Tribolium castaneum: one gene and its partner. The protein of the gene in region 1 binds, or shares a complex with, the protein of each later gene. Links are inferred from orthologs where the notes say so. Each region holds a gene or a part of one and is shown on either strand. Other genes may lie near its edges. The genes, in order: Not1 and Rcd-1.

The links.
Region 2: the proteins of Not1 (region 1) and Rcd-1 are in contact, whole or in part, in a crystal structure (PDB 4CRU), measured with the Homo sapiens proteins. The link is inferred for Tribolium castaneum from reciprocal best matches to the Homo sapiens genes CNOT1 and CNOT9. Residues at the interface, in NP_057368.3 of Homo sapiens: Ile1415, Ala1416, Thr1418, Thr1419, Gln1422, Ile1423, Lys1426, Asp1427, Phe1428, Met1444, Asn1447, Leu1448, Gly1451, Met1452, Met1454, Ile1455, Arg1458, Glu1459, Tyr1548, Gln1549, Arg1552, Met1553, Pro1554, Gln1556, Ile1557, Leu1559, Val1564, Lys1567, Gln1568, Leu1569; in NP_005435.1 of Homo sapiens: Arg19, Glu20, Tyr23, Ile26, Asn27, Ser30, Ser31, Pro32, Arg35, Pro54, Met55, Trp57, His58, Ser59, Phe60, Gly61, Ile63, Ala64, Ala65, Leu67, Gln68, Val71, Asn72, Tyr74, Pro75, Ser76, Ile77, Asn78, Pro79, Thr81.

What each region holds. Positions count from the first base shown.
Region 1 is NC_087394.1:30,452,878-30,469,783, forward strand, and holds the start of Not1 (CCR4-NOT transcription complex subunit 1), read right to left. Parts: upstream 8,470-16,906; 5' UTR 8,155-8,469; coding exon 8,053-8,154; exon of another isoform or gene 7,988-8,052; intron 7,806-7,987; coding exon 5,286-7,805; intron 3,785-5,285; coding exon 1,803-3,784; intron 1,652-1,802; coding exon 1,228-1,651; intron 1,173-1,227; coding exon 639-1,172; intron 1-638. Other genes in the region: putative leucine-rich repeat-containing protein DDB_G0290503, read right to left, coding at 8,813-8,884, 8,942-9,064, 9,112-9,494, 9,541-10,686, 10,738-10,820, 10,869-10,960, 11,108-11,172, 11,232-11,415 and 4 more; mpv17-like protein 2, read right to left, coding at 12,706-13,305.
Region 2 is NC_087398.1:10,408,635-10,425,390, reverse strand, and holds Rcd-1 (CCR4-NOT transcription complex subunit 9), read right to left. Parts: upstream 8,297-16,756; 5' UTR 8,086-8,296; coding exon 7,973-8,085; intron 7,924-7,972; coding exon 7,786-7,923; intron 7,735-7,785; coding exon 7,557-7,734; intron 7,507-7,556; coding exon 7,312-7,506; intron 7,260-7,311; coding exon 7,168-7,259; intron 7,110-7,167; coding exon 6,932-7,109; 3' UTR 6,579-6,931; downstream 1-6,578. Other genes in the region: myosin-VIIa, read right to left, coding at 11,072-11,284, 11,334-14,151, 14,201-14,433, 14,480-14,815, 15,055-15,888, 15,939-16,756. UniProt on the Homo sapiens protein: Component of the CCR4-NOT complex which is one of the major cellular mRNA deadenylases and is linked to various cellular processes including bulk mRNA degradation, miRNA-mediated repression, translational repression during translational initiation and general transcription regulation.

The DNA of each region.
Region 1 (16,906 bases):
CCAACCGGGTCGCGTTTAATCTACACAAAAAACACATCGTTTAGAAACATCATAAAGGCAAAGTTTCACCGAAGGAAATCTACAAACAGCCGAGGAGTAAACAACTGAGCACTAACATTGTACCTACAAGCCCAAAAATTTTCAAAAAATTCCGCTAAGTTTTGGAGAAACATTGGCCGTTTTGAAGAGTTTCCGAGGTGTTTTTTGCAAGATTCGACCAGAGTTGAGATAGGTAGGTGCTTTTCAGCTGTGAATATAATTGTAGTCGATCTTCGATAACCCGAATTCCGTAGCAAAAAGTCATAATATTTAGTAACTCCAACAATCGAACTTCGATAAGTCGAATTTCTTGAAATATCGAACATAAACCGACATTTGTCTTTCAAAATCAAACTTTTTTGCACAAAACAACATTTGAGCATTTAATTAAAAATATGTAGTTTTTATATCTTAATTTTTTTTTCTTCAGTTATTTCTGATAACACAAATTTGTTGATAACTGTCCATTCGAGTTATCAAAGTTCGACTGTAATAAATATGTTCGGTTGTATTTTACGAAATAAATGTGTTAGATGTACAAAATTGTAGTCAGCTGTTTACCCCTCACAATAAATAGCCATGCATGTCTTAACACCTACCTGAAGAATTCCATTGTGAATGTGAAGAGTAGGTCCAACGGGCGCGCGGTCTCCAAAGAACGGTGTTTCAGGATTTTGTCTCAGTATCTCGATGATATTGCCCAAACCTTCAGGTGGCTGTCTCATGTGGGTTTGTATCTTGGCCAACATTTCGATCGTATTACAAAGGTCATTATCGGTCACAAACTGGTTATTGCGATCGTCAATCAGATACAACTGGACCAATTGCATGGCAAAGTTGACTCCCATATAGTTCACGCCGTTTTCCATGCACTGGGCCAGTGCCAAATCATACTGAGGAACATGAACAAGACCAGACTTGATCAACGTATCGACAGCGTCGATATTGTAACGATAATCTTCACGACATTCAGTCAAAAATCTCGTAACCAGTTTGTTAGTCCACTGTTGTCCGAAAACACGCGGATCTTGGAATGATTTCAAAACTCTAACTATAATCTCCTTGAAACGCATAACAACAGGGTCGGCTTCGCTCAATGTCGAACCAAGGGAATCTTGCAGACTCTCCACGCACTACACACACAAAAATCAATGATTAAACCGCCGAAAACATAAAATTGACACTCACTTTTTGTACCATGGCTTGTGGCGGAGTCGGATCCCTATTTCTCGAAGTATGTAGAAGACATTCTCTGATCAAAAGCAAATTAGAACTCATGTGCGAATATTGTGGTTGTCCGGATGTGGCTTGGACAAACTGTTCGATTTCGAGACACAATTTCTCGAAAGTTATGGTCAAGTCATCGTTGAGCACCGCTGCTTGTGGTAGGGGAAATGGTGTGGTTGGATGTATCTGGGTTTCAATCGGTGCCAAGTTTTGTTTTTGCATCAAAATGCTCGAATCGCGTTCGTTCGGTAAAAATCCTGGAATATTTCGGGCGAATTCTTCGTACACAGCCATTTGGCTGTTGGAAATTCCGCCCACTTTTAGGCGAATCTGCTCGGGCATTCGCTCGGCCTGGTAAGTCAGCGCAATGGCGTCACAATAGCGCCTGAAAACACAAAACAATGATAACAAAATATCTTCGAAACTAAAAAAAAACTAGGGACACGATGTTAGTAAGAGAGTTTTAGGTTTCGTTAATTCGTATTTGAATCTACTGTAGATACTGCCCTGCCAGAGCACTCTAAAATTTCACTTACCGTCCTTCTTGTCTCGCCATCTTCCTAAGATCGTACTCGCTCATCAACCGCTTGTCAATTTCGGGAATAGCCTTCTCCACCGCCGTTTTTTGAACAAAGGCACACGCCAACTCCATATTGTCATTGGCAATAATACTGGCCGCTTGTTCAATCATCTCCTTTTGTTGCAAAGTAGGAGTACCAATATTCGCCAAGAGGGCCTGTTTCAGGTGAGTATTTATGGCAGACAACAATTGGTCTCGGCACGTTATCATTGCCATACCGGCGGTTAGATTCCTGACCATAAAGTGCGCCGCTAGTCTCATTCGTCCCTCGTCAGGATCCAAAGCAAAATCCTTTCTGATGATTTGTTCGCACGTTTGCAAAGCGATTTTAATGGAGCGGTCAACAACAGGCGCGATCCACTCCTGCACAGCATGTTCAATTGACGACCGAACTAGAGGTTTCAACTGTGGCTGGTTTTGGAACAGCAGGATAGAAGGACTGACGACGGTGTGTGTCTGAAAAGATGTCATTCCGGCAATTTGGATGTCCCCATAGCTGAAACGGGGCTCCGGAGGTGCAGACAATGCCGAAGTTGGAGTGGTACTGTTATTGTGTGTGACTGGAGAATTAGCCGCCTGTCCCGGAATCATGTTCACCAACTCCGGTTCGTTTATAGCGCCCTGAGGGATGTTGCCTTGTGTTGACGGAATTAAAACGTTTTCTTTCTTAGATGGTTGAGATAATTGATACTCGATCTTGTGGATGCGTTCAGGGTCTTTCAAATACATGGTCGGTTTCAGTTGAGTTATGTCAATATCGAGGTTTTTGCACAACACTTCGATTTCGAATTTCAGAGTGAGTTTCAAGTCCTGCTCTTGGTGGAGTTCGGCGAGGACGTTCATGATGGCCATGGTCCAGGGGTTTTGTGGCTTGAAGACTTTGCTTTTAGCGCACGATTCTATCACTTTCGCTACGAATGGCACCACGTACAGCAATTCCTGTTGGCCTTTATTGTACGCTTCTACAAGCAGTGATTTTAGGTCTAAATCGATTTGAAGAATTGGTTTGTTGCGGGCCAAAGTCAAAATGCCCAACCAGTGTCCCAAATTCTTCAATAATGATCTATCAGAGAAATTCTCGATTCCTTTATCCGATCGTAGCAGAACTTTGATGTTTCTGTACGTTTCTTTAGTGACCATTCTGTAAACTTCGTTGTTATTCAAAGTGTCCAAGAAATTAGAATACAGCCCGTGAAAATTCAACTCGATTGACGCCCTCTTCATTACCAAATATTGCGATAGCCAAGGCCAGTATTCCTCCAAAACTAGCTCACGCAACTCGTCACACTTCGGTTTAAGGTTCAGTTGACTCAAGTTATTAAAAATGAAGGCAATTTTATCCTGGAGAGCTTCCGGTGGCGCAATTACTTTCTCATCTTTTTCTGTGGCGACCAGAAGTGTGTCAATATTCGTTGCATTGGCTATCGATGGTCTACTCCCCAAAGTACTAGTGGTCGTAGTACTTGCCTTGCTCGGGGCACTCGAACTTATCGTCGAATTCGGTTTATACACTTGCGAAACTGGAGTGCTTGGTGGCGCAAGCATCGAAGCCATACTGGCGGGTAAAACTGAACCTTGTGGCTTATTTGGTGGTTCAACACTTTGCAAACCGTACTCGACATATTCTTGTAAATGTGACGGAAATTCGGAAAAATGAGGTATGGCTCGTACGTGCTCGCAATATTTGTGGTAGTCTTTCAATCGGCTCTTGAATCTATCCAGCGCTGCTATGCCGAAATAATACATTTTGGATCCCTCTGGTTTTTTGAGGGCTTCTAAGACGAAACGCAGAGCCAACCCCAATGCGACGTAAGATGTTACGATGCTCCTTTCGATTATGCCACCAAAGAGTTGGGCTGTGATAAACAGTTCCTTCTCCGGGTATTGCGGAAAAAATTTGTATTCTTCGAACAGGTTTCGCAGCATGCAGTTGAAAACCTGGAAAATAAACGTAGCAAACGTAATAAAAACTGGATAAAAGCGTTCTTTTTCTTTTTCCTTTGACAAAAAGCCAGAATAGACCAGTTTAAAACAATAAAATAAATTAATATTCAAAAAATGTCTGCTTCAGTTAATTAGAATAAGAGATTAGTAAACTTAGTTACTCAGATAAAATTTCGTTTTTCGTTCTTCTGCAAAGGGTAGTTCTCTGCCTGTGACAGGTTTAAAGACTTACCGAAGATTATCAAATCAATAGGGTATGTCACAAAATGCAAATTACTTAGGATAATGAGGGATGGGTGTTTGAAATCGGCTTTTGTAAGTTCGGGTTAAACTTTTGGATGGAAATTCTGAGAAGCTTCTTTTCAATGTGTTGTCATTTGGTGAAAGTAGATAGAGAAACGTTATCGATATATAAATTTATTAAATAGTTATCAAGAATTATAGCGTTTAACAGATTTATTCTGAACTAATGCTATTAATGTTATTTACTCTGACATCAAGGATAATAAAAATTATCTTCATTTATTGTTATTTCATATTAACCGAAAAAATACTCAGAAAATGTGAAAATATTCTGTTGGCATTGTTACAACCAATGTTAACAGCCCCTTATTATTTAGTCAATAAATATTTAGGGTTTATCCTTCATAACCACTACCTGGGCCCTGTTCCATCAACGTCTTTGTAACTTGAGACTTTGCTTAGGGTTTCACCAACAACAGCATATTTTGCACACTTTGTAAAATATACTTTGTTTTATAAAAATTTGCAAAAACGATTTCAAAGAACTTGGGCTAGCTAATGTTGTTGCATAGTCTTTTTTTTCTTTTTTTTTGTAAATATGCAAAAATACTCAATTTATAAATAAAGTGTTCGGAGGTAGAGTGAAATTTTACACGGGCTACATGAGTTCACTCTTGACTAAATATTGCCAACCGTATCTGAGAAAAAGTGTCATACAGTTTTAGAAAAATAAGCCTTTGTTATAAAGACTTATCGAAAAAATACCACCTCAGCGGATAAAATAATGTCATTCTTTATATGTTACAAAGAAAAGATTTTTTTTTAAGAGAAAATACACATTTTACAACATTTTAAAAATTCGTAATTTGTGTACATGTTGGAGTGTAGATAGAGAGGACCCTTCAAAATATCAAAAATCGCAGATTAACGGTAATATAAAAAATATTTAAAAAACGCTGACTTCTCCTTTGCTTATCAAACGATTTTTTTTTCGAGAACAAAATATCTCGTGATCGATTCAACTGATATTGGTAAAAATTTAGTTCGAGTATTATAAAATTATCTAAAGTATTGCATAGAATTTTTTCCTACTTTCCCGAGCGCCAACGTGCTGTAACCCCTAGTTTTTGAAATTCTAAAGTGACTGAAAATGTTGCATTACGTTGTTAAATAATGTCAAAGTTTAATGTAAATTTAATTGGTTCAATATTAGTTTTTTATTATTATCATATAAAGAAGTGGTAAAACTCACTTCTCTCTCCCGTTTGTTGTGCGAATCCTGGAACCTCTTCAACATATCCAACACCTCATCAATGGACAAAGTAGGATGAGGCGGATGATTGTAAATCCTTTGAAAATAGCTATTAGCTTCGTCTTCAATATCCTTCGATACGTTGGGCGACATTTCCGGGAACAAGTTATATTCAGGAATCCTGCTTTTATCAATATTCGAAGCCGGGCCCATCCTTCCAATATTCCCGATTTGATTAACTCCCAAAACCAGCGACGAACTGGTCCCTACTGGTCCCTGATGTTGCAACGGCATCATCGGAAACGGACTGTTTGAAGGACCAGCACCCAAAATCCGCGAAGGAGACCCGGGAGACTGCACTAGCGGCCCGAGTCCCCCTTGCAAATTAAACGCCGAACTAGTGGGCCCCGACATTGTCATGCTGGCCAAATTCGTGGTCAAACCGGGAATAGTATCGACAGCAGAGTGGTTGTAAAGCTGTCCCGACATTGCCGAAACACTGAACGGGCCTTCAACGCCCCTGGACCTAACAAGAGCCGGCTGTTGACGCGATTTCAGTAAAATACTGCAACCGGTGGTGACGTTGATTATCGCCTCTTGGCACTCGGGACTGACGCTGTTCATGCAAGATTGCAAACAAATCATAATCGTGGTCAAAGTTTCGTTGGGTAGGGACGAAGCTTTGGTCATAGCGTCGTCACTTTTGCCCAGGATTTGCGGGCAACGGCGGTGCAAAAACTTGACGCAAGCTTGGACAAAAGGCTCGCCGTGTTCTCTGATTTTATCCGAGAGCCACTTTTCCAGCTTGAGGTACTCACGTCTGGATGCAAGACAAGCCAAGTCGATGATGAACGGATAAGATTGTTGGTTTTGGGCGTTTAGGAGCATTGAGAGGGCTTTCAGGTCTTGGGCAACGTCCAGAATTCGGGACAGTCTCGTTTGATCGCAGTCGCTTCGCACATACCATTCGGCCATGGCATGCATTATTATGGATTTGATATTGATGTTGGTGGTGTGCCAGGCATGGTGTAGTATTATGGCAGAGTTTGGGTGATTCAGGAGAAAGATTGGGATCAAGTTGGAGAGTAATTCTTGTCTGAGGAGCGTTACAGGCCCTTGTATTTGTAACAATGCGAGGACTAAGACATCAGGACAGTTGTGCATTGGATATTTGAACAGTTCTTGAACGTAAGTGAACAAGCCACATTCAGACATGTGCAGGAGCAACTCGACCAGATTTAACGATCTCCAATTGGCCAGTTCCTTGCTGTCTTGTTCCGGTGGTGTTTTGAGAACGTCAACACTGACGGTCATCGCGGGATAGTCAGCAAAACAGAACACATCTGGATTTTTGAGAACATGTTGAACGAGACTGAACTGCCCCTCGACGTTCGTCCATCTCTTATAAAATTGGTCAATTGGAAAAGTTTCCGGGTGGAATCCCAGCGTCTGGAGGCCATGTCGAAGTGCACTTATTAGAATAATGAGTCCTTGTCTATCTTTAATAATAAATTCGGGATGGTCCAACTCGGCCACAGTGTTGGCCCATTGAAAGTTCGGCACGACCTCTTTCAACGCCTGGACGAAAACCTCCACGTTCCAAGTGCGCCCCTCATTGCCCTTATTAAAACTGCCTGGCGATTGTAGACTGAGTGAATCTTCAAGGCCACTGTGTGTTCGGCACATAACGGTAAGGATCCGAGCGACTGTTGCAGGGGTGATGTCGCGTCCCCCAAGCTTCATCAAGTTGTTCCGACATTCTTCCACCGACGAAGTAAAACCGAAACCGATCTCAGCCACCAGATCGGCCAGCGAAGTCTCTAACATGCCCCCGGATAAACCGGGGCCTTCGGATGACATTTCCGGCGACAATTCACAATGTTCGGGGTAAACTAACGGTGCTAACACTACGGGAACGAGGTCTTTGGGGAAGTCGCGCTGGAGAGTGTCGAGAAACGCCCGGTGCGCGTTGTTGGTGAGCCCAACGTCTTTGGGGGCTTTCAGAACAGCGGAGAGGATCAAGTGGAGGACCTCGGGGGTGGTCTCGTGGAGGCCCCCTTCGTGCTGGCGGGTGCTGCCTTCAGTCTCGATATACGACTGGATGAGAGTCGGAACCGTTAACCGTAAATGTGCCTGGGCTAAAGACGAAACTTCCTGGTTTGAAGAGTGGCGAAGGGCGAGAGCGAAAACGACTTCCTGGACAGCTGAGAGGCGAAGGCACTTGCTCAACTGCTGGAAGAACTGGGGTCCGAATTTGAAAGCCTGTAACGGAACCGCTGCAGAAAAAGTGACCCACCGAAGCGGTTTTGTTACCTTGTTGGTGCTCAATGGATTGTCTGTGATGTAGCAAACAGACGTCAGCAGCGAGGGTTTGTTCAACAAGTTCGAACACTGCTCTAACAATGCTTGATTTTGGGGAGATGGAGCGGTTATTTTGCTTGTAGATTCAGAAAAGTCCACTGATGAAAATAGACATTGGAGCAAGTGACGGTCCGCCTCCAGACCATGCAAAGTTACCAACTATAAAACGAACGTTTGATCAAATTTAAAAGCTGTTTAAGTGATAAGAAGCACTCTGATAATCTGAATGACATTTTGCAAGAACGTGAACGAAAAAAATAATAACAATCAAAACACCTTTGTTCACCACAACATTGCTCGATCGGTAACTGTGCGTGACAGCTGGCATGGAAAAGATGGCCGATTTGTCAATCTGATAATTTTAGTCCACGCATTTGCAACGGTTCAAATTTTCCGCTACTCTTACCTTTGAGAGTTCGGCAACGACTTGCTTGTAGTTCTTTTTGGTTAATGATGCAACTAAATAACTTATTTGTGACAAGGTAAAAGACAACGAGTCTAGGTTCATAGTTCCATGAACACGGCCTCGAAAGCTTCAAATACTTTTGAAGCTTTCTTAGGTATGCACGGGGCTTTTATCCACAAAGTCTTATGTATTTTTGAAAAACAACTAAATTTTAAATGGTCCAAGACCATCATCGAATCTTTAATGTACTTTTCACCACTTTAATTTACCAGAATCATCTTTTGACTCACGCAACACACAACACATGCATCGAATAAAACATATGTATGAAACTACGCATGACCAACAACGAGCTCACTATCCTGAGGGGATGTGTGGTTATAGTTACGTGTATTTTGATTATTTTTCCAGAAAAGACGCGCAAAAAAAAACTACACCACCCGGAACACGCACGAAAATGGCAGGAAAACGTCAACTTTTCACATGTGCTTCGAAAGCCGAAGAAAACTAATGATCCGAATTTGAAACTGCAGCGGCACCTCACGTCATGAACGGTAAGTTCTACCCGCTCTTTTCACCCGAATTCAAAATAAAAACGTTATCTCCATTTACTTATCGCATGTTATCTTATCACTCAGTGTGAATAAAGGACAGATAAAAATAAAACGAACTGGCAAAGATATATTTCTTTATTTCTTAACTGTTCAAAATACAAATTGTAATTAAAACATGTAGAATATTGAAAATGAAGATGAAGCTTTCAGGATTTGCTATGCCTCTCAGCAACTATTTTCTTCATCTTTTCCTTATAAATATTTTCTATTAATTGAATCTGGAATAGAGATTGATTAAATAAACAAGAAATGCGTTACACGTAGCATGTTATTACCTCTCGGTCATTTAAAACCATTTTTTTCAGGACATTTTTCACGTTCTTGTTGGTCTGCTTTTCAATTTTTGTTGCATTATACATATACGCTTCCAAAAGGGACGCCCATCGCTTGTTTAAATCCTGTAATAAAACGATGAATTGCTCTTACTTGAAGAAAAAATCGGTACCTCAAAAGCTTTTTTATGGTTCGTGGCCAGTTTGTTATACTTGTCCAGAACCGCGATGTTGCTACTTTTATACGTTTTGCACTCCTGGATGAGGATGTGCAAGCGCTTGGCTAACTCAATGTTTTCCTTTTCTAAAGTTTCCATCTTACGCCCACATTCCTCCAAAACTGCAGCAAACTGTTTGCGATAATTTGCTTCCTGAATCTTCCACTTTTCCTTCTCCTTGTGATACAAATCGGACCGCTGTTGAATGACTTTCTTGTATTCCTCTTCGATTTTTTCCATTTTCTTTGAATTTTCTTCTTGCAACCGATCACGCAACAACAATTCGGTTTTCAAGAGCTGTGCTTGCAAACATTTTTGAAACACGTCGCTGGTCACAACTACAAGTTCAGGGATAGGAGTAGTAAATTTAAAACACAAACCTACTATCGCTGTTTCTTTTATCTTGTTCCAAACCACTTTCAACGTCTGACAACTCTTTGAATAACTTTTTCCGCACCACATCTTCATTTACTCCATTGACTGTCTTTTGCAAGTCTATGGTCTCCTGTTTTGCATCATTCAGCTGCTTCTGAGTGTTTTCCAGTTGTTTTTCAATCTCTAATTTATTTTGTTCCATCACTTTAATACATTTTTTATAATTGAGAATTTCGTCTTTCAATTTTTGAATAGTGTGCCCATTATCTACCGATTCTTTCAACAAATTGTTCCTGTTTTCAGTCAAAGCAGCAATTTCCTTTTTCATTTCGGCAATTTCATTAGTGCAGCGCCTCAGCTCATAGTCTAGGGCAAATTTTTCACCCTCTAACATAGTTTTGGCGTTTGTAAGGTCATCAACAGTGTCTTTCAATTCGGAATTTTTCACACCGTGTGTGAAACTCTCAATAAAATCGCTCAACATGTTGTCCCAAAGTTCCAGTTTTTCTCGGATTTGTTTAGCTTCGAGTTTATCGACGTGGAACGAATTGAGAAAATTTTGCACGTCTTTCTTCATCTTGTGAATAATTCCAAAATTTGTCCTTCTGGGACTTGTGGCTTCCAGATGGGCAAGAATGTGCTGCAACTGTTCGTGAACTTGCCCATATTTGGACTTTACTGAATTAACTTCGTGAACATCAACGTCAGACTCGAGTAAATCGGTTTCGGAAAGTCCCAGCTTGAGACAAATTTTCTGAATCTGGGTCTTGACTTTGTCGTTCTCGTCAGTTATTTTCCTGAACTCATCTAACTGAGCCAACAGTTTTTGTTTATCTTCTTCGGCTCTCTTCAACTCTTCTTGTACACATTTATGGGTTTGCTCATTTTCCAGTAATTGTTGTTTTAAACTGTTGATTGTAACTTCTGCATTTTTTAATTCGTTGCTCATTGTTTCCAGCTGAGGCAGGCTGTATTTCTGCGACAAGCTTTGAATGTCACTTCTTGTTTGCTGTATCATTTCCTCAATCTTTTCCTGCAGTTCCTTGTTTACCGAATTCAGGTTCATTATTTGATTATTACGATCTTCAACAGCTTGTTGGTAACTCTGTAGTTGCCTTTGCATGAAAATTATCAGTTCTTCATGTTCACTGTCACCTACAATGTTACCGTTGTCCAAATGATGTAAGCCAAAAATTTCAGACTTACTGCATGGTTTAACCTCACATGAATACATTTTGCTTAAGATCTGCCTGTATTCAAATAATTCGCTTAGGTCAGAGTCATAAAATCTGAAAGTCAACTTTATTAATTGGAAAAACAAGTCGTGTAATTTTTACTTCAATTTAGCTTTCAGCGTATTTATTTCAATGTCTTTGTCTAACAACATTCGTTTTAATTTTTCCATATGAACAACCATTGTTTCTTTGTCCTAAAATCAATAACATATTATTATCAACAGGTTGTAGCGTCCGAAGAATTTCAAAAATTTTTTTCTTGACTAAATTTATTCCTACTTTATAAATAATAAAAAAATGGATTATTGCAAGTTTTATAAAGCGTATTATTGAAGATGTACCATTTTTTTGGTTTGAAAGACATCCGCCATATCAAATTTATTGGCTTCCATTTGTTGCATTCTCTCTAAAACATACAAACAAAAACAATTTCACGAATCAGTATCAGAAATAAAAATCCTAGACCTTTAAAATGATCACTTTCTTTTTTTATAGCTTCGCCCAGGACAAACAAATCTTTACATTGTTGTTGCGCACTTTGCAGTTTTTTGGATAACGCCATAATGGCCATGTTATTTTCCTCCTCCACTTCTGTTTTGCTCTTCATTAACTTTTTCAAATCTTCCTCCAAACGTGTTTTCTCCTTTTCCTTAAAACATAATATACAATCCAAAAAAATAGACGCGTCTGTTGTGCACGTACCAAAATTTGAGCTTTTTTTGATTGTTCCTGATACAAAGTTTCCAGACTGATGATCTGATCCTGGTGAGCTTTTTGTAATTCCTCAGAATTTGATTTGCGTGTCCCTGTACTAAAGGGGTTATTATCAGCCAACTTCAATTGCAACTCGTTGACCATAGACTTGTATGTGCATATTTCTAGGTTTTGCTAAAATATTTTGGATAGAATTAGGATTTATTACTATTATTACGTTTACTTCTTCTAGAATTTTTTTAAAGTTGTCGATATTCGACTCTTTCAAGGCCAAATCTTCCTTTAACTTGTTGATAATTTCGTTTTTTTCAACTAAAATTCATGATTATTATTTGCTGCACAAATGAGTTAACAGACCTAATAAGCTTTCAGAATTGCTTAGCGAGATTTGTAAGTGACGGATTTCCGCCTCTGCAAGAGTCGATTTGTTTTTTAGTACTCCAATTTCCTTTGCTTTCTCTTCCTTGTATTTTTCGAAATCTTTTTGAAGGCGATTAATTTCCCTGACTCTAACATCGTATAAAATCTTCAGCTGCTCCTGCTGACTGGCGTCCTTATAACACTGTTCAATAGTTGAGTCCGTAACATCGTTTAAAAAACTTTTTCCACTTCCTTCGTACTTAAATTCACTTTTGTTCCGTAATGACCCTTGATAATTTGGCTCATTTGCTTCTACTGATGTTACCGATGAATTCATCGTACTGTCGTCATAATTAAAAGCGTGAATCCCATCTGCTAATAAATCAGCTAACTGAAAGAATAGCCCAATTGGCAAAGTTTGTAATTTAGGAGTAGTTTTACTTCTTCTTGACGTCGTCGCTGTTCTTCGAGCTCTTCATCCTCCTCCCGGCTTTGGGGGTTATCAACATTTAACGAATTGTCTTGAAAGACACTCATTTTCACCTACTTAACGTTAAATTATAAAAGTTTTCCGAACTTAACCTCTCTTTTGAGTAACTTTCAATGACGCCATGAAAAAGTTCAAAAAGAAGCCGCCATCAGTTCTAACAACCGATCACGAACGAAAAGTCCCTAATAAAAAATTTAAATTCAAAAAGGAAAATTTATGTAAATTATGCCTTTGTGGGTTACATAATGAAAACAAAGTGTTTTTCTGATGTTTATTTATGTGAAAAAATTGTCACAAGGCGTATTACACAAAGTGATAAGGTGCACTGAGATAAGTGTATTAATCTAAAATTTTATTGCCTAATTTCTACACAGGTCAACTGTTTTCACTGTCTGATTTTTTATGTTTTACATAAGAAGTGTAAATATCATATCCTACAGAAATGGTATTGTCATACAACACCCTAAACTTAGTTGGTAGAAAATAAAAGTTTATAAACTGGGCAGCAGGCCATACAGCCCATTCAGCTGCATATAAAATCCACGCCTTTTCCTGGATTTCTTTCACCACTTCCTTCGTCGATTTGCGTTCCAAAATTGCACAAGTCACAAACAGCGTAGCAATGCACACAGGAGAGCAGACAATCTGATCAACAATGATCTTCTTACATACGGTGCCAACTGTGTAGCCTGGTAATTTACGGTCTAGGTAATTGTACCAATAATGACAGATCACCCCAATTGAAATTCCACAAATTGACATGTTCCGAGTTCTTGTTCTGTTCCAATTGTCCAGGTCGTCTGTTAGCATTTCGTAATTTTGTTCAAGGATGTCCCCCAGCCCAGATAACGTTCCTGACAGGGCAACATTTGTGCACAGAAGGTATTTGTCGCTAAAACTCGTACTGACGAAGCTGCCAAACTTGGAAATTACTCTTGTTTTCACAGTTTTTACCAAATTGAAACATGTACTCATTTCAAACTTTAAGGTTAGGAATATAAATCTGCCGCAACACGTAACACGTGTCGCATGAGAGGCCGGTACATTATTAGACTTAGTGTTTTATGCAACCAATTATACACGTTTTGACTTCTGTAGAGGTTTTATCGGCTTTATTTTTCAATAGAAGTTGTAACAATTTCTTTTGCATTAGAAAGCAATTGTCTTTCATAACTCTTTAACATTTTTATCTATTTTTATTTATTTCGGTAAAATGTGACGTTAGCGTTTTTACAGTTTTGAAACAGCAATACGTTAATAAAATGAAAGTTGGCAGCGACATCTAGGTGTTGGATGCCAAAGTATCACTGTACAGTGGCGACAGTAACCTGTACATAGATAACCTATAGAGTTTATTTTGCCATCTATATAATTTTTTTGAAAACAGGGGATTACAGTACTCTGTACATTATAAATATTATTTTAATATACATAATTTTAAAATATAATTTAAATCTACAATGTGCATCAATTTCACAGGAATCCAAGGTCGCTCTTTTCATTTACAAAATTCTTTATAAAATTCTTGCAATTTTTGACAGTTTAGACAGGCAACCAATAATATAGAAGTTTAAATAAATTTTCCAAAAATTTAAAACTTTTATTGCGTTTTTGTGATCTTAGTACGCATTTTGGTTTTATTGTGATTTTATTTAATTCTAATAAAATTATTTTATTTAAACTTTTGTATAGTTGGTTGCCTAGACAACCTGTCAAATTTTGTAAAAAATTTTAGGAATAAAACTCGTACCAGAATCACAGGAACACTCTTTTAGTGTTCCTTAACAACATTGAAGAGTTTGTGCTTATCGCAGGAATAAAGGGAAAGATAGAATCTGAATTGATCTAAATTCATTTGGAGCACATTTTGTCAAACGTTTGGTATTGGTTTGATTGATTATTTGGTGGTTACTTTATTTGTTGTTTACCAGAATTTTCGCAGGAGCTGTGATTAGTTGATTACCATACCAGAGGATAAATTTGTTGAGGACCCAAAGTGGTTGGGAGTTGTATGGTAGTAGTGGTCCGGATTTATACAGTCACTAAAATGGATGGTTACACCACATCATGTTAGATGTGAGTTTAAATATCTGGGTTGGTTTATTTCTGAATTTTATTTTTGTCCAGAAATTCAAAGGTTTGCCCAAACCGTTGAACAAGTGGGGTCCCAAGCACCCAACTTTGCGGCAACTTGGATTCAGTGGAACAGTAAGGCAAAACGAGGTAAGAGATACACCGGCTCGGTGAAGAGGAACGCGAAAAAAGCAACGCAGAATCGAACGAGTAATCGAGTATATTTTGCTATTTGCAAAATAAGCAAAATCCAACTCAAAATGGGATTAAGGATTAAGTCTCCAGGTTTGGTTCTCACAGTAAATATACGGAAAACGTACAAAATAATTGGGTTAAGGCGAGTATTAATCCGTTGTTGAGAACGCAATTCATGATAGTTCCAATTCGGAAGAGGAGCCTTTAGGAAGGGGCCGTATGTTATTCCAAACACTAATATTATGCATGTTTGTCAAGCGAAGATGCCACTGCACAGAACTGTGATTTTTCCGAAATTATTTTTGTGTATAGCTACTAGATATTGTGTTACAGTTTTTTTTTAAATAAAGTGATAAAATGTATTGTTGCCTTTTATTTTTCTTCATAAACAACTTCTTAGTGTCCTTTGATCAAAGAAGTGCAAAAAGATATTTAGGATATAAACCGCTAAAAATAACAAAATTTGAAAATATTACTAGGGGCAAAATAAAATAAACTTCCTGTTATCGTAACAACTTAAAATTTTGCATGCACACGTAATTTTTGGAGCACTTTTACGTCATGTACTTCGATTCCCGATTTAAAAATGTGCAATGCTATTTCGGTTCCTGATTGAGATACGGGAACGAGACCTATCCCATTCGATAGCCCAGGAAAAATACTACGGGGCAGTTGGCTTTTCAAATGGGCAGAATCACCCTTCTATCTCCAACAGTAACGGAGATATTTCGCATTTTGTGAATTGCAGATTTTCTTCAATTTTTATAAAAAAAATTTAAGAGTGCGAGAAAATTTTGTTAAAAATGAAACAATTTTGCAAAATTTTAAAAATGGATCTCGTATCAGGATCACAGGAACGCAAAAGGGTAATGAGAAAAAATATATAACTTAAAATACACGCATATGTATAACTGGTTGCATGCAAACGCCGCTAAAAATTTCGTGACCTCCTTGCGTTCCTATGATCCTAATACGAAATCCATTTTTAAAATTTTGCTGAATTTCACTAAAATTTTCTTTCATTATCAAAATTTTTATAAAAATTGAAGAAAATCTGCAATTTACAAAATGCGAAATATCTTCGTTCCTGTTGGAGATAGAGGGGTGGTTCTGCCCTTTTGAAAACCCTACTGCCCCGTAGTATTTTTCCTGAACTATCGAATAGGCTAGGTCCCGTTCCCGTATCTCCATCAGGAACCGAGTTAGCACTGCACATTTTTAAATCGGGTATCGAAGTACATGACGTAATAGTGCTCCAAAAGTTATGTAAGCATGCAAAATTTCAAGTTGCTACGATAACAGGAAGTGTCTGAAATTTAAGTTAATAATATTTATAATTCCGAAAGACAACAAACAAAGCAAGTTGAATAAAAACTATAATAAAAAACTCAAGCTTTTTTGTTGAAAATCTTTATTTAATGCGATTTGTTTGGAACATATTTTACGAGTTAATTTTGGGGCACTTCCTGTTGTCGTAGCAAATTGAAATTTTGCATGCTTACATAACTTTTGGAGCACTATTACGTCATGTACCTCGATTCCCGATTAAAAAATCTGCAGTGCTAACTCGGTTCCTGATGGAGATACGGGAACGGGACCCAGCCTATTCGATAGCCCAGGAAAAATACTACGGGGCCCTACGGTTTTTAAAAGGGCAGAACCACCCCTCTATCTCCAACAGAAACGAAGATATTTCGCATTTTGTAAATTGCAGATTTTCTTCAATTTTTATAAAAATTTTGATAATGAAAGAAAATTTTAGTGAAATTCAGCAAAATTTTAAAAATGGATTTCGTATCAGGATCATAGGAACGCAAAGAGGTCACGAAATTTTTAGCGTAGTTTGCATGCAACCAGTTATACACATGCTTGTATTTTAAGTTGCCGACAATTTCTCATTACCTCTAATTTTGAAAATTTTAACGGTTTTAGATCCAAAACAACTTTCTGCATTTCTGTGTTCATAGTTGTTTACGAAGAAAAATAAAAGATAACACATTTTAACACTTTATTAAAAAAAACTGTTATAACATAAATAACATAATATCTAGCAGCTGTACACAAAACTAATTTCGAAAAAATTACAGTAATATTAGTGTTTAGAACATACGGCCCCTTCCTAAAGGCTCCTCTTCAGAAATGGAACTTGGAACTATCATGAATTACGTCCTCGACAAAAGATTAATAATATTCGTCTTCAATCCGTTATAACCTATTGTCATAAACTGTTATAACCGGACTTGGAGGGTCCAAAGAATCGAAATTGCGTTGAATTTTCCTGATTTTGCAAATATCACATACACTGTAC
Region 2 (16,756 bases), on another chromosome or scaffold:
TATTTTTAAGTGCATGACCTCAGGTATTGTTCGAGGAAGGTGCACATTTGGGACCGCTTTAGGTAAAAGTTATGTTCGATGAATTTTTAAAATAATTGTAAAATCAAAATCATAAAAACTCATGTTGAGACTTTAAAATTTAATTTAAAAAAAATACGAAGTTTGAAGGAAATGTGAAAAATAGTTTGGCAAATCTTATTTAGTAAAAAATACTTTAGGTATTTTTTCACTAATGGTATGTGATTTTTTCAGAGTTTTTCTACTTACTTTTCGGTGTAATAATAAAATATTAATAGGTACTTATCAATAAAATTGAAAATGTAAAAATTATTTATTGTTCAAAATTTTATGGTTTCTAGTGTTATCTTCTTATTTGAACTTCAAATTTTTATTTAATAATTGTTTTTGGGACTAACGACATTTCTTTAAGGATTTCTTGCACAAAACATTTACCAATGTATCGTTTGTTCTTCGATGCCATAAGGAATAATAATTTTGTAGCTAATTAATTTTAATTACAAGAAATTGTAGAAAAATTCTGAAAAAATTTACCGGCTTAGAAAAAATATAAAGTATTTAATAAACTAATTTAATTTAATAAACTAACTCTGAGTTTTTTTTCTTTTCCATTACCTATATTTTCCAAAAACTAATAGTAGTTTTTGGAAAATACTTACTAAAAAAATAGATACTTTTAGTGAACTTACCCTTTATAAAAATACCACGCGGATTAAAAAAATATAACTTATTATATTCTAATATTAGGTTTTTAATTTTTTTGTTACCTTCTTACCTACGTTACTTTCTTGTAAATGTAAATACCAATGTTTATACTAGATATCTGTTATTAGTAGAAACTACAAGATGTGTTCAAATGATTATCATCTAGTTAACTTTGAAATGGGTTTACACGTACCTTACGAGTTTGGAAAATGGAAAATTCCCACATGAGCACTTTGTTTGCTGTACGAGCGTAGCGAGTGATGCAGGAAATGTGAATACTGGAAATTGCTATACAAACAAGTTCGGTACAATATTTTTTGTAACAAATATCAAAAAAAAAATTTTTTTTTTGATAATTTAGTTCTTTTTGCTGATGAGTTGGTAACAGGTCAAACAATCATCAAATTGACATGAACTGTCACTTATCATAAAAAAAGTATCGTTTCTATCTAAACGTAGCGATACCAACCTATTAAATGTCCTTAGCCACTTTTGCAAAGTAGAAAACACCGCACTGCGGGAAAATCATAGCTATCTAAAAGCTATGAGTACAAAAAATTTATAACAGCAAATTTTGATAAAAAAAATACGACGTTGGCGTTTTATAGTTTTAACACAGTTAATATTAGCAAACACTATGTTAGTTTTTGAGATACAGATAGGTACACATTTAGCAGATTTCACCTTTAGCACAAGCTGTCTTTTTGTTTTTGAAACGGTAGGTTTTATTCACACTTTTCTCTCTTAGGAGCAATAAAAACTAACATTTATTTTTTATTCAGAAAATCTCAATTTCTGTGGAGCTTCACTACAAAAAATGTAATTTTCCTGTCGTCATTATTTATAAATGTATCTTAAAGTTTAAAACGACATTATATTTTAATTTTAAACAAAATAAAAATTAAAATATTTTTTCTTCAACGCATGATGAAGGTATGCCAACAAGACGACCATTTTTTATTTACTAGACCTTACTGACATTTTCGGAGCAAAATTCGCAAAAATATCAGGTCTTATACCCCCAGTTTCTATCTAATAGAGCAAGTTATCGTTAGATAATATAATTTTTATCGTTTCATAAGTTTTATACTAATACCAACACAATCTTCCTTATTCCTTAGCATCGATAAAATTTATCTAATAACGATAGGTTTTAAAAACCGGGGGTTAGTGTTACATACAACGGTTAAAATTCAAATAAGTATCATTTGTTAAAGTTAGCATGCCTTTAATTTAAAATCTAATTGGTATTTTTCTCCTAATGATTCCATAAACAATTTTATAAATCTTCGGTAGTTACATCAAAATTAATTAATTTCTTTTGGAAATATTTTTGTATAATAACTTCTCTTTTTTTCTAACTGTGTTTTTCCTACAGTCTGTGCTCATCGAACGTCGACTCCAGTCTATACATACACACAATTTATTTTGAGTGAGATCAATAAAGTGATACCTCGAAACACATCCCTCTGTGTGTTGTTGATGTTTTGTAAAGTTGCTACAACTCGATGTTACCCCTATAACTTCAATCACAAAGTAAAAATTAAATTAAGCAATGAAGCGTATTGTTATTACGTGGCACATTTTGAAGAATTTTATTGCAATAATAAATCAAGCATTAATGTCATAATTTAGCAGTGTTATAATATCTAAGACACTTTAAATGTGGGTTGTTCTGCAGAGCCCCTGAATTTACGAACTGGTTTTCAAAGCCGCTTTTATTATTATCTTTAGTTGTTACAAAATGATAAATCTGTTTTTAAATGTGCCGTCTTATTGTATAAGGATCGTGTTACATTATTTTGTCCTGTTGCTATTTAATAATCCCGTTTGTATGAAATGCTCACTAAAATACAACTCCACGTCGAGTAAATTACTATTCATGACTATTTTTCAATTTTTTGCTTCACTTGCCGATCGATTTAGTGAACTTAAAGTGCAGATATGATGCACTTTACTTAGAGTATAGATGTACTAGATGTGGGTTTAATGGAGAGACCGTCAAAAATAAAACGTTTCATACTTTATTAAAATACTTTCTCTGTCCTTCGCTTTACTTTCACTTTCACTTTATATGCGTATACAGCAACATCCAAGGGTAAACGACCCTTGAGTCTAACTTCCCCTACTCAATGGTTTCTCCCGCGTTTTATTTTCATTGGCGTCTTCCAGCCGCCATTATAAAACGGGCGGGAAACTAATAAGGGTGGTGGTGAATGCTATTCACATCTATCTACTACACTACCTACATCTTCCCCTAATTTGGCTGTCCTGGAGAATTTTTAATGCGGACACAGACCGACGAGGAAAATTATTATTAATATTTACATAGAAGCTTAATTGTAATAAGTATTAAATACCTGTAGCCACTGTACAGCTATTAAAGTAAGACTTCGTCCACATATCTACCGGTTTCAGAAGAAAATATACCTACTTAATTCGGACTTTAGTAAAAAATCTATAGTATTAAGTCGGTTCATACAGGATCCGAATTAGGGTCGTCCGGGACCCATCTGCTTACCGGATGAAACTTTTTTTATCAAATAATATATCCAAGGGAATATCTTGCGAAAGAGTTGCCTAAAAAATATGCTCAAGACTATGAATAAAAAGAGTTCAATTTTCGCCATTTTCCACAGTGTTTTGCAGCCGTTTTAAGTAACATTTTTGAAACTAATTTACAGGATTCATTCTTCTACTCGGGCTCTTGAGAAAGTCTTTTAAGATGCGGCAATTGCTTTATTTACTTCAGAAAATAATTTTGAAAACTATAAAGAATCTAGTCCTGTTTGAAAATTATTTTCCATCAACATTAAGTGTTAACAGGAAAACGAAATACTTTTGGCCATGTGGTGGACTCTTGGGAATAAATAATGATGGGAAAAAACTTTCAAAGACTACTAGATTTTTATTAGATTTTTTTCAACTTTCAATTTTTTTCTGAATTAATTACAAAAATTAATTATTTATATTAATTTTTATAGGTAAGGATAATAATGATAATAATAATGGATGATCATCGAAAAATGCAGTTTAACTGAAAAATAACAATAAACTTAATAATAAAAAAAATGTGATCTTTGAACCAGGATGGTGTTGATGGGCTCATGTAAAAATTCTTGACAACTGACTAAAAGAGAGCATGTGAATTTGTTTTTGGTTATTTGAAGATATTAATACGAGAACCATTTTTAAGAACCCTAAATATTTTGACTCATAAAAACTTAAAATAAAGCATTTTAAAGGAAAAACTAAAATTTGGTCAGTTACTACTAAGTGCGGAGTGTTAGTAACTTGTTTTTCACTAATTTCTGGCTGGAAATACTTGAGGGTAACTCTAATGTCCTACCTACAGCCATGTAACAGCAAGTTGGAAATGACGAGATAAATATTTCATAACTCGTCAGAAAGTCTAAAAATGTTTTTTTTTGTCTTCAAATATTGTTTTTGGTTTAATTGGATTTTTAAAACAATCATTAGGTACTAACAATTTTTTTGTATTTTGAGCTCAATTTTTTGCTAATAACATTATTTAAGCATGGTTTGTTTTAGAATAATGATTTTACAAATCATAACATTTCGATTAACTAATATTTATTATAAGAAATTATCTACAGAAAAAATACGAAGAAAACATGCTTAAAATTCGTTCACTTTCTTAATAACCACTGTGGTGCAAATGACTAACCTGCTACCACGATAACCCATATTAAAATTAATGCTAAGATCTCGCTATTTGCACCACAATGGACGCTAAGAAACTGCACTGCTTTTACCGAAATTATTATTATTATTATTTATTATTTGAAAGATACATTTACAGCAGTTCACCTTCTATATAGAATAACTTGAGTGTAACTCACTAGAATAAGTGGCTCTTTGTTCATTTAAAGAGCAACTTACACCGGCTAGATTTTCGAAATTTACATTAGGGAGTGGACGCTAAGAAACTATCTTTAAATAAGTTTAATAATTTTCCAACTATTCAATAATAACTATTACATTTGTAGCAAAATTTAAAGATTTGTGATTACTTTGTGTGTTCATGTGTCTGTCGAAATGTTATATTGATAATGCTATATTTCGTAAATGATTATTGTTTCTTAGATTGTAACATAAGTCCGCATGTGTTTATTATACGTTATAGCTATAACCGAGACGTATATACTGCTTTTTATGTAAAAATTGGACGGAAAAAGCAAGTTTTCGTTGTAAGATTCTGATGTTCGGTTACAACTACCATTATAACCACCGTTATAACCAAATTTGTTATTATATACCTTTAGGATGCGTTATATGCCGGGTTTGTTACGTTATAACCGAGCTCTACTGTAGTAAAAATTCATATTTTTAACATTCTTAAAAGACCCATTTCTTGTAAATAAAGAAATAAAAATTAACTACGAAAGATGTTTGTAAAAATCAAGATTTTAAAACTTGCTTAATTAATTAGGTCTCAAAATCAAATGATTTATTAAAACGCATACAAAATTTCGTTAAAACAGGCCAATAAATCACCGAATTATGTCGAAACTTACCTACCTTATTTTCAGCTAAAAACTCATTTATTTTACGAAACATTCCGATTACTTAGATAATGTGTCAATTGGGTCTAGTAATAATTATAAAGTTAAGAAGTTTTTTGAAGTTTTTTGTCAATTAATCACATTTTTAATCTAACAGCTCACCTTCTTAGCAAACTTTTGCTCAAACAGACCAAGAAATTATCTACGAAAGTCGAAAATTATTTTTTATGTTTCAGTTAGTTTTAGTTTAATACTTATTGCAAGCAAAAACTGTTAATTTGCATAATTTGGCTACACCAAGCCAAAAAACCGATTTTATTTCGCTAGATTTATCTGAAGATTTATCGTGAAACTTATTTTGTGAAACTTTCTGAAAATATCCGCCAATTAGATCGAAATTGTTCTTCTTTGTACCTGTCTAAAGTAGGAACAGAAAAAAATCATTGTGCATTAAGAGAAGCTTTAAGAATGCTTAGGTATACAAATTGAGGAAAGTCTGGGATATAGGTATTCCCGATTATAATAAAAAGTATAAGGAATTGTACTTTTACAAAAATAAGATAAAAAGGATAGGGGCCAACACTTTGAGATTAGTAATAGACTTAGGGATAATACTTATAAAGAATCTTTGACTTGCATTAAAATGCTTTAATATCGATTCAAAATTCACTTCTTATTAAAAGAAATCTTTGTTACAACAAATTATCAACTGAAGTAAGTAGTAGCTTTGTAGAAAAAGTGTGAATTTAGAATGTTTTTAAACGGATGTTGGCCTTTATCCTTAGACTTGTTATATAAAAAGATGGCGCTTCAGTACAGCGACTGCCCTCCATCTTGTTTTATTTAGCATGTGATAATCTAGAGTTCGCCACTGTATTTAATCATTGGATGATTTCTTTTATTTACCTTATCTTATATTCTATTATAAATTTGTGATTTATACTGGTCGTGCATTTCCAGTAAATAAGGGAAAATAATAATAATAATAATACCATATGACCATTTGAATTTATAATTAGAGTACACTTTGATACTTTTTTCAATTATAAAGTTAAACTTAAAAAATGTAAATCATATAGACATAAGTTAAACCAAAAGATTAATTAAATTCGAGTTAGATGTTGAAGTTATTAATTATTACGTAAATATCCCTCAATACTATATAAAAAGTTGTTTAATTAAATAGGATTTAATATGTAAAGAATTTTTGGCGGAAGAAAAAGTGAAACTCTGGGAAGTAATTTTATTTTTCGAATGATATTACGTGCCTTTTGGTTTCCTATTATGGAGCGAGTTTAATTTATGGTATTTTTAATTAAACAATCAGCATAATTTAAATTATATATTTTATTTTTTTCACAAAAATTTAAATAATACACATCAGGCATCCTAAAAGATATAAACAAGATACAAAGTAAAATGATCTGTTGGCATATTTACAAGGACAATACAATGATTGCTTTCGTTATTAGTAGAGTATAAAATGTGACTTGTGAACCAGGACATTTGGCATCTTAAAAAACAAGGCAGAATCTGATAAATGGAAACTGCTAAATTTGCAAAATTCTGTCTCGTTCTTTAAGACACCGTAAATCCTAGTCCAAAAGTAACATTTCATACTCTACTGTTATTTGATATTTGAACTAAACTAAAGAAAGACGTTATTAAATCACAATTTTCAACTATTGGGACGTCAAGGGTGATATTCCCCCTTGACGTAATTCTGAAGTACCGGGTGTTTCTAAATTCGTCAACAATTGCGAAAGCCAATGTTTCGTTGATTTATCTTCTTGCAAACACACGGTAAATGTGTTGTCACGTAAGTGATCAGGGAGGCACTGCCTTAATGCTTCTCTAGCCCTAAAAAAGCAAAGAAAAATTAGCACAACCTGAAACAAACAAGAAAAATATCTAGTACCTTGGATTATCTGACAATCTTAAATAACACCTTACAACATGCTTCAAAAGCCTAGCACTTGGTTCCTTCGCCAGAACCAAAACCATTTTACCCTAAAAATTCAAATACAAACCTAAAATTCACTTTTCATTGGTAACAACTTACCAAAATCATAGCCACGTGGCTAAACCTATCATAGGTCTGGCAAATGTATGAAAGGCCACTGTCGTCCAACAAAATCTTCTGCAAGATAAAGGTAGCAACGGTTTTACTTAGTTCAGATCCAGACTCCATTATTCGCAAGCATAAGGGAATTATTTCAGTCGTCAGAAGAAAATTAATGACCTCCTGCTCATCAGTCTACAATAATAAAATAAACTTTTTGCCAACAAAAATAATCAGAAAAATACCTTGACAAGTGCACCAATTACTCCAAGACTTGTCAGTCTCAAGTACTCAAAAGGGCGAGTTTTGGAAACTGTGTGCAGGAAAGGATAGAGGAAAAGAGGCACATGTGCCAACAAAAACTGAGATCTGGTTTCCGGATGGGAGGCCACGCACTGGAGCAACGCCAAAGCGTTACAAACTCTACAAAAAATTACAAACAAGTAGTTTTGCCTCAAATTGTGCGCTTGGTACCTGTTGGACTGATGAGCAGTTAACGTGGCTGGATTTATTGCGGGATAAATATTGATGATTTCTTGCAAGAGAGCCGCCGTTGTCCCAAAGCTGTTCCACAGCATTGGGGCCAAATCAGGTACAACTTCGCGTTTTTTACTACAAATAGCCAAAATTGGACCGTTTGCCCACAACTACAAACGCTCACCTTAATTCTAAAAGGGCATTCTCCCTAGTTTCTGGATTAGTGAGTTCCAGAATCCACTGGAAAACCTTTTCGCGTTCGACGGTTTGGTTTGCTGGACTCGGTTGAGTGCTCATGATTTTGGCTTGATACAAGACCACAGTTTTCCAAAATTAGCGTTTTTTGTAATGCTAGGCTATGCCCACAAAAATTACTTCCAAACTAAAACGTTTGCTTTCAACAATTACTTAATGTTTTGTACGTTAGTTGTGTGAAGTGAATTTTTAACAAAATTGAGACGAAAACACTACAAACAACCCTTAACAACCCCAAATTTTACAAGATTACAGACTGACAACTGACAGATATTTTCAAGCGGACGTCAAATACTCCACTCCCGAAGTCTGGCTAAAGCGAACCCGTTTTTTTATATTATTTCAAATAAAAAGTGTTTATAATAATAATTTTTTGTTTTAAAAAAATCAATGAAATAAGTATGACATAAATTGAACTAAATAAAATTAGGTCAACAAAAAAAAAACACGTTTTAATTATAAAGTATGCAACCAACAATTTAAATAAGGTAATTGGATTTCTCCCAATTCATTTGATGCATAGGCCAAACGGTTCGTTTGGAACGCGTAGTTTTATCTGTAGGAGTTAAAACCGTTTATTTATTGACTGCTCTTATAATTTAAATTAACCATTCTTATTTTATTAAATTATGAATGAGTCCAAAAATTCAAAGTGATTGGTTTTCCACGTTATCATGATGGCCGACCTTAAATGGACCAATCATATCCAAAAACGTAATTCTTCAATGAATCCAAAAAAGTAAAGTAATTGGTTTTCTCCCTAATTTTAATGGCCGACCTCAAACTGCCCAATCGAAATGCTTACAACTTTTACAACAATCATTACGTTAATTACGTTAATTCATAAAAGGATGACTCTGTCTTTGCTTTTGTTGCATCTCACGTCTTCAGTTTTTCATTGAATTATAGCCCCCTGGGTAATGGTAGACGTTCTGCTAGTTGAAAAACACAAAAATTGGGACAATGAGTGAAAATAAATAAGAGGTTTAAATTGAAACTAAAATTTAAATTATTGCCAGTAGGTAGAAAAACACGGCACGTTACTTTGACTTTTTTTTGCTTGGACTCAACAAATCAACATTGATTGTAATTAATATTGCGTGGAAAGCGAGGGATAAACCTTTGAAAATAAATAAAAAAATATAAAATCTCGAAACAAATCAACTTTTCTTTATCAGGAGACACTTGTGTGGCAAACCACGTTTAAAAAAAGTGCCAAGTCACTTTCTTATACACGACTTTACCACTTTAACTTTTGAAGCCGCAAAATCTCAAAATGGTGATTGCATGATCTACAACGTTTACCTGACTCATTCTTCTGATATGCTTACCGCTTATGAGAAAAATGCAAAGAACCGATACTTTTCAACTACTAAGGGGGCCCCTAGTGAACACAGCTACTTTTTTAAGGAAAACATCTTTATTTTTAGAGGTAAACAGAAAATCAGAAAAAATCGTGAAAAAACCATCGTTTTTAAAGCATATTTTTAATTAACATTTTTTCAAAGATTTTGCCCTGTTTTTCTATTAGGCCACTTGAACACAAAAATGAATTCGTTTCGATCATATCCACAAATTCACAGTTTTGTTTTATGAAGGTTAACAGCTTTAAAAGAGAAACAGTATTTATTATTGTAACATACGCGGAAATCGGGTCAGTTTTTTATTATCTAATATTCTGTAACAAAAATTATGTTTCGAAAAGAGGTTTCATTTGCGATGTCGTTCATAAGTGGAACACTAGAACGTCATCAATACTGTCGACTCAACTTCTCAAAACGTAATAAAAACGCGGAATATTGGGGAGTTCAGTTTAGTCCTGGTTAGTCCTGCTTGGTGTTGATTAGTCTTGTTACATCGTGGTTATTTTGTGGTACCAAGTGTGTAAGTACGCATTCTCATTCAATGTAGTCATTTTTTGTAAATAAACCTTTTCTACAACACCACCCACATGACTTTTAATCTCACCCTGTAAAATATGGTGGAGGCGCCGGGAACTGACATTATTAAGTTAGGATTATCCTTGTTATAGCAAAAATGGAGGATTAGCATTAATATAGAACTACTTATGTCTAAAAAAGATAAAGACTGGCAGGGCCACCCCAGAGGCAAAGCCGAAGATGAAATTTATTTAAGGGAATTATGTGAGTTGAAAAATTCGGTGCATACCTAAACGGTCTACGCTCCAGAAAATGACAAAGTTTTTATTGGACTCATGAATTTAATCATTTTTTTTGGAGATAACTTTTACTCATTAATTTATTTATCAAATTAATATCCAAATGTTATTGTATCAAAGTTTTCAAGAATAACTGATTTGTCATAAACAAAACCAAATTCTTTTGTTTCTATTTTATTTAAAAGTGTTTTGGTTTTAGTATCTCTGGTAATTCGATTATACTGTGAACTGATTTTTTTGTCTTTGTATTCTAGTAGTATATTAAAAAAGAAGTTCCATAAGACCACTCATAAAGCACGAATTCAGTTTTTTGAAAGAATAAGTGGTATAAGGTCTTATAAAACGAGTTATACTATTTTTTGTAATTTGCCTTTTGTTTGCCGTTTTTAAACAAAAATTGTTATTTTAGTCGATTTATGGAATTTCGTCACAGTTGGTAATTTCTGTTTTGAAAGTGAAATATTGATTTAAAATATGTGTTTTATTAAAGTTTTGACAAAAAACAAGAGTTTGGATGACAATGGTATTGTTGCATGAACGCCTCTTGAAATTTGTGAAATTCCAAAAATACGGTTCCGAATTTGTTTCTTGCCAACCTAAAAATTTTCGTAAAAAGTTCCGTCAAATAATAACTATTATGACATCGTACTTGATGACGTTGAGTGCTTTAAGGTGCCTATTTAAGCATCAAAATGGCGGCAAATTACAAAAATAATGTTAGAGTTATGTACTTACCGTGGTTTCTTTGTATTAAAAAAGAATTAGTTGTGTTTTATTATTTATTTATTATCATTGTCACGAATTATACACCAACAATTATGTATTTACAATAAAATAAAAATTACGCATTTACAAAAAGAATTTTTCTTTTTCCTGTTCCTTCTTCGCGGTGTTTTTAATGTAATCGGTATAGGACGTAATCAAATCATCCATTTTGTAACCTTGCGACGTTTCGCACAAAAGCTTCGTTTTCCTCATTATGTTCCCGATGGTTAGGTGGAAGAACGTATTCCCCGAGGACCAATTGCTCAACTCTGAGAATTCATGTACGGCCAAAATATCCTAAAATGCAAAAAATTACAACAAACCAAACCAAACCGAATCAACAAACCTTTGTTTGTGGATGCAAGATATTAACACCCAGTTTATTAATCCCGATCAAAATAATACCCGGTAAAGTAGGATCGGTGGTTTGTTTGACTTCAAAGAAAGTGCACCCGAACGTGGGCCACTCGTAAATCGTTTCCAAGAATCGAAGCTTTGCTTTTTCGATGCTAATATCTCCCAGCTTTTTAAATTCGGTTAAAATACTTTTCTTCCACTCGGAGGAACTCGCAGCCTTGACCAAATCTGCTGGGATCAGCTCCTTCAAGTACTGCACGGCCGCTTGGGCCTGGTTGTAGTCATTGTCAAGCCTCGAGTGGAGAACCAGAGCGGCAAGTTTAATCGCGTCTTGTTTGGTGCACTTGTGGAAACCTCGCAAATACTTGGGCAGTTCTTGGTGGAAGTGGAAGATTTGATCGGCGTTTGGGTCCTTGCCAGGCACGGCGTTAATCCAGAGCTTCTTCATGAAGAACACCTGGTATTGGGCTTGGATCGGTGCCGCACTGTTCCAGCTGGGTTTCGTCTGCCGCATCCAGGAGATCAACTCGTGGAGGAAATCGTAGAAGAAGTAATCCTCCGGAATCGAGAACACTTTATCCGAAATCATCACAAACAAGCTGAACCCGTCCGTGTATTCCAACTCCAGTCTGGATGAAATTGTCTTGCAGAGGTCGCACGCCCTGGTCACGGAATCCACTTCAAAGGCCTCGTCGGTGTCGTCAGGGAAGTAAATCTTGTGGTAGATTTCCATGCTGCGGTGTTGGATGGCCTCAACTTCGACGGAATAGGGCGGGTATTTGCGCGGGCCCACCTTCTGGCTCCGCTGCAGCCGCTTCAGACACGGCTCAACGAAGGGGTGCGTCCTCGAAGTCAGGAACTTGTGCAGCTCTGTCATTAGGGAGGCACTTGGGATGAACAGACCCGTCGCTAAGTACATCAGCTCCCAGCCGCGTTCCTCACTTAAAGACAGCCGGTTGAACGTCAACTGGCGCATTATCTGGCAGTAGACTTCGTCCTTGAGCATGTCATTCTTAAGAGCCCCTGAGAAGATTTGATCCGTGTACTCGTTACTGTATTTGGCTTTGGGGGCCGGTAGGTCCCCCATGTATTTCAAAATCGCGGTGAACGCCGAACATGCTTCCTTACTCAAGTCTTCGTCAGTCAAGAGTTTCTGGAGGTGGGGTTGGTAGATTGGCTCATTGGTGTACTTCCAGAGCTCTTCACGGGACGCTCTTCGCGCCGCTGTTAGAACCGACGGTTTGGAATTGACGAGTTTCTTCCCGGCTCGGAAGTGCTCATTGGCGTAGTGGGCCAAAGTGTAGAGTTTCAGCCTCTGCATCGTGTTCAGGACAGGTGCTGAGGGCTTTTTCGGCCCAAAAACACCCTCTTTTTTGAACGCTGTTAAAATGTCAGCTGGGGGCTGCGTGATGGCTGGGAGGATGTAGACGTGCTCGGTCGGGAAATCGCCAACGGAGCCGTTGCATTCCCCGTAGCCCCAAGTGGCCGACATCAGGGCTTCGCCATTAAGGCCGTTCTTCAGGGCTATTAGGTCACCCTTCTTGAGGGCTAGGAACGACGGAGCGTTGGTCTGGTGTTTGTAGTCTTGAATCGCCACCACGTACGTCGACCGTTTCTTCAAGCCGTCCAGAAGGTACTGGATGAGGGTGCAAATATTTTCGGCGTCGGGACTTACGAAGACGTATTCTTCGTTTCTGACCGTGGTCAGGACGAACTTGTGCAAGTGCGAACGCCCGATTCGCTCGAAACTGACCGAACTGACGTCGCAAAAGCTCAGCTCGAGGAGGATTTGCTCCTGGTCGTCGATCATGTAAATTCCCGTCCAGTTGACAGCGATTATCATTGTTTTGGTCGGAAGCTCGGGTCCGCCAGTCTGCATGGCTTCGAAGAATTTTGAGAAGAGGATAGGCCAGGTGTTTTTGGCGTATTTGACGATGAATTCTTGGGCTTTAATCGCTGGGAGTTTGTTTTTGACGCAGAGTAATTTGGAGAAGGCATCCTTGATCCGTTTTTCCCACTCGTCCAAGTTCTTTTGGCCTTTCTTGACTAAATAAGTCGGCATGTATTCCCCGATTCTGGTATGCAAAATTTCCGGGTTAAGTTGGGCCCCATTATCGACGTAATACTGGGTGGCCACTAGTGAAACCACGTCGCCCTCAACACTACAGCGGTACTCCCCAAACTTCAACCCTCGTATTATCTGGTGGTAGATCAAGCTCGTGGCAACGGAATCATCAGCGGCGTTGTGCCACGGCGTGAAAATCTCCTTCCTGAAGAAGAGCTTCCAAGGAGCGTTGCGTTCCGACTGACCTTTCTCTTTGGCGTATTGTTCACACTGAGAAATCGCATCCATAACGTGGTCAGAGTCACTCCCCAACGACATCACTTTATCAAACAGCGTGATAAACAGCGAAAAACCGAAAACGTCCTTCAAGTTGCGTTTCGTTGCTATCTCTTTGCAAATCTCTTCAGACGTGGTCGCTGAATCCACCTCAACCTCCTGCTCGCTGTTGTCCATAAACGTGATTTTGAGCGAAATCGGGTTCTTGTTTCTTGTCGCCATTAATTCCAACCAACTGGGGGGCTGCGTCCGGGCGCCGTTTTTGAAAGTCCGGTTCAAGCGGCCTTCGCAGTACGGGGCGTAACCTGGGGGACCACTCCGGATGAAAGCGCGCAAGTAGTTGAGAAACCTGTCGGAGGGAGGGAAACAACCGATGCACAGCGAGAGCAGAATCCAGCCACGGGCGTGTGAGGCTTTGGTCGGGTTATTGGTTAGTTGTTTGCAAATTTGGCAAAAGATCTCGTCACTAGAAAAATTAAATTCGGTCAAAATGTTAGTCAACAGTGTTAAAATACCGCAGTTCTGGTCGCAAAATCCCGTGCCCGATTATAAAGTGCAACTTTTCCAAGTTCGTAGCTCTGCGATTATTCAACCACTCGTTGTAGCTTTCGGCCGCAAAGTTGTCCTCAACCAGCCCTTGTCGCACGTCTTCCAACAGCTTGTTCTTGCGTCTCAAAGTCATACTTACTAGTTTCTTCCTTTCGGATTTGGTCAAGCTTGCCATTTTTCTCTCATCTTTCAGAATGTCCTAAACTCGAACAGTGAGAAACACGGATGAATAAAACTGGACTAACCTGATACTCCTTCCGGTTGGTGAAACTCCGACTCAAAGTTTGCGACACTTGCGTCATGACTGATTCGTTGGTTTTGATTGCATTTTCAAATTTGGGTTCCGGTAAGTCCCCCATGAACCTCAAAATGGTGATCCAGAGAGCTTGCGCTGCGATAATATCGTCCGGCGTTGGTAAATCAAGTAAAGATTCTTTGAGTGGACGTTTGGAGTAGTGATGATTAGTGTTTTTGATGAAGTAAGTCGCTGCAAATTTCGCAAAGTTGTAAGCTGACAAGTCTTCCTGTTCTTCGTCGTAGGTTTTGTCTTTTTCGCCCGACTTTGCATCCTTGAGCAGCTCCTGCAAGAGTTATCAGGAGGTAAAAATAGCTGCTATTAAGTGGGTTATCAGGATATTGATTAGATCCGTTGAAATCAATATTCAAAATCAGTAGCCTACCGAACATTGCGATCAACGTTACTGAAAGAATGTGGAATTCTGTTCCAATTTATACAATGTTCCGATTTTTGTTAAATAAAATTGAAGACTTTGTGTGGTGTTTATTTTATTACACTTTGGACATTCCTTGTGTTACTTACAATAAACGCGTCATTTTCTTTCCTGATGTCGGTTGGAGTGGCTGGAAGGTTCGGATCTTTGAGAAACTCGAAGACATCATCAACCAGTTTCTTCGCCTTGTTTTCTTCCTCCTCCTGCTGCTTCAACTTCAAGGTGTACTCCCGGTTTAGTTCAGCCAAACTCTTTTGCATTTTGGTCTCGGCGTCAATTCTATAATTCTTGTTGCCAGCGTTCTTCATATTTTGTTCATCGACCTTTCGCTGTTTAACTATCGCATAAATTCGCCCAAACTGCGATTTATTCCGAACCACATGTCCCCTGGCAACTGCCTGCAAATGAACGATATTTTTCCGGACCTTCCCAAACGAATGCGTAAGTTGTCTGGACCGAATCGACGCTTGCAACCTCTGATAGCCATTTCTGATGGTAAGAAACTTGGTGCGATAGCCCCTCGCTCTCCAGTATTTTTGGAAAACGATGGTCGCCTCCCGTAGTTTCCGGAAACGTCGTTTGAAAATCCAGCCCCGGATGGCTTTTTGCAGCACGAGGATGTACTTTGATAAGATCCTGCTGCGTTCCTGCTCCAGGAACTCGTGGTCGTGGGCTTTGAGGAACAGCTTGGTGTGCCCCATTTGGAAGTCTTCGTTGTTCTGGAAGACCGTTTCGCAGATTTTCTTCGTTGATTGTTTGCAATCGCCCTTCGTACTTGGGGGGATCGCTTTGCCCAAGTGGCGGAAGCGGTCGACGAAGTCTTTGTAGGTGTAACGGATGGGGTAACCAGCTTGGCGGATCTTCGCCGTTTCCATCATTCCGGAATAGCGCAGCTGGCGACAACACAGCGTCCTGTCAAAAACCTAAACACAATCCACATTTACAACGTTGAAACAACAAAACGGGAACAAACCTGTGGTTTTTTCTCCTCGTTTGGTTTGATGCACCTGACGAAGTAGGGATGGCACATGTTCAAAGTTTTCATTAAAATATCAAGCGAACTTCTGAACTGCGACGACAGGGTGATGGTCCGTTTCGTGTTGGTTTCTTGCTGGAAATCCTCCGCGAAGATCTGCTTCAGCAGCTCGTTGTTTGATTCCTGTATCAACTGCTTCAAATCTTGACTGAACGAGTCCCGATTTTTCTCCAAAAAGCCAGGCACGTCGTAGTAGACAGGACCGGCGAAGTGCTGGACACCAAAAGCAGGAGTGACGTCGGACTTTGGTTTGAGATAATTCTTCTTCGCCGAGTGAGTGTTGTGTAGTTTCGCCAACATTGTAAAGTCTGTCCCTTTGGGAAACTTCGATTCTTCGTCAATTAGCGACATCAGATTCATTGGTTTCATTCCAATCATGTCCAACACGTCTTGATTATCGACGAAAGCGATGTTTTTCCAATTGATGCCTTCTTTGGTGTAGTAGTCTTGCTCCAGCTTGAAGATATGTTGGACGAAAAATTGTTGCAAGTTTTCGTTGGCGTAGTTGATACACAACTGCTCAAAACTGTTAACCTTGAAATTTTCAAACCCGAAAATGTCCAAAACGCCGATTGAAGTTTTGGACGCACCTTTCGGTTGGTAAATCGCCGAGTTGATTTTTTCGATAATCATGATGAAGAGTTTGCCGTAGATTCCTTTAACGAAGGCATGTCTCGACTCAGACGCTTGTTCTTGCGATAGAGTCGAAATGACTTTATCTCCATGCGCAAAAATGGTTTTTTTCGTGAGGGCTT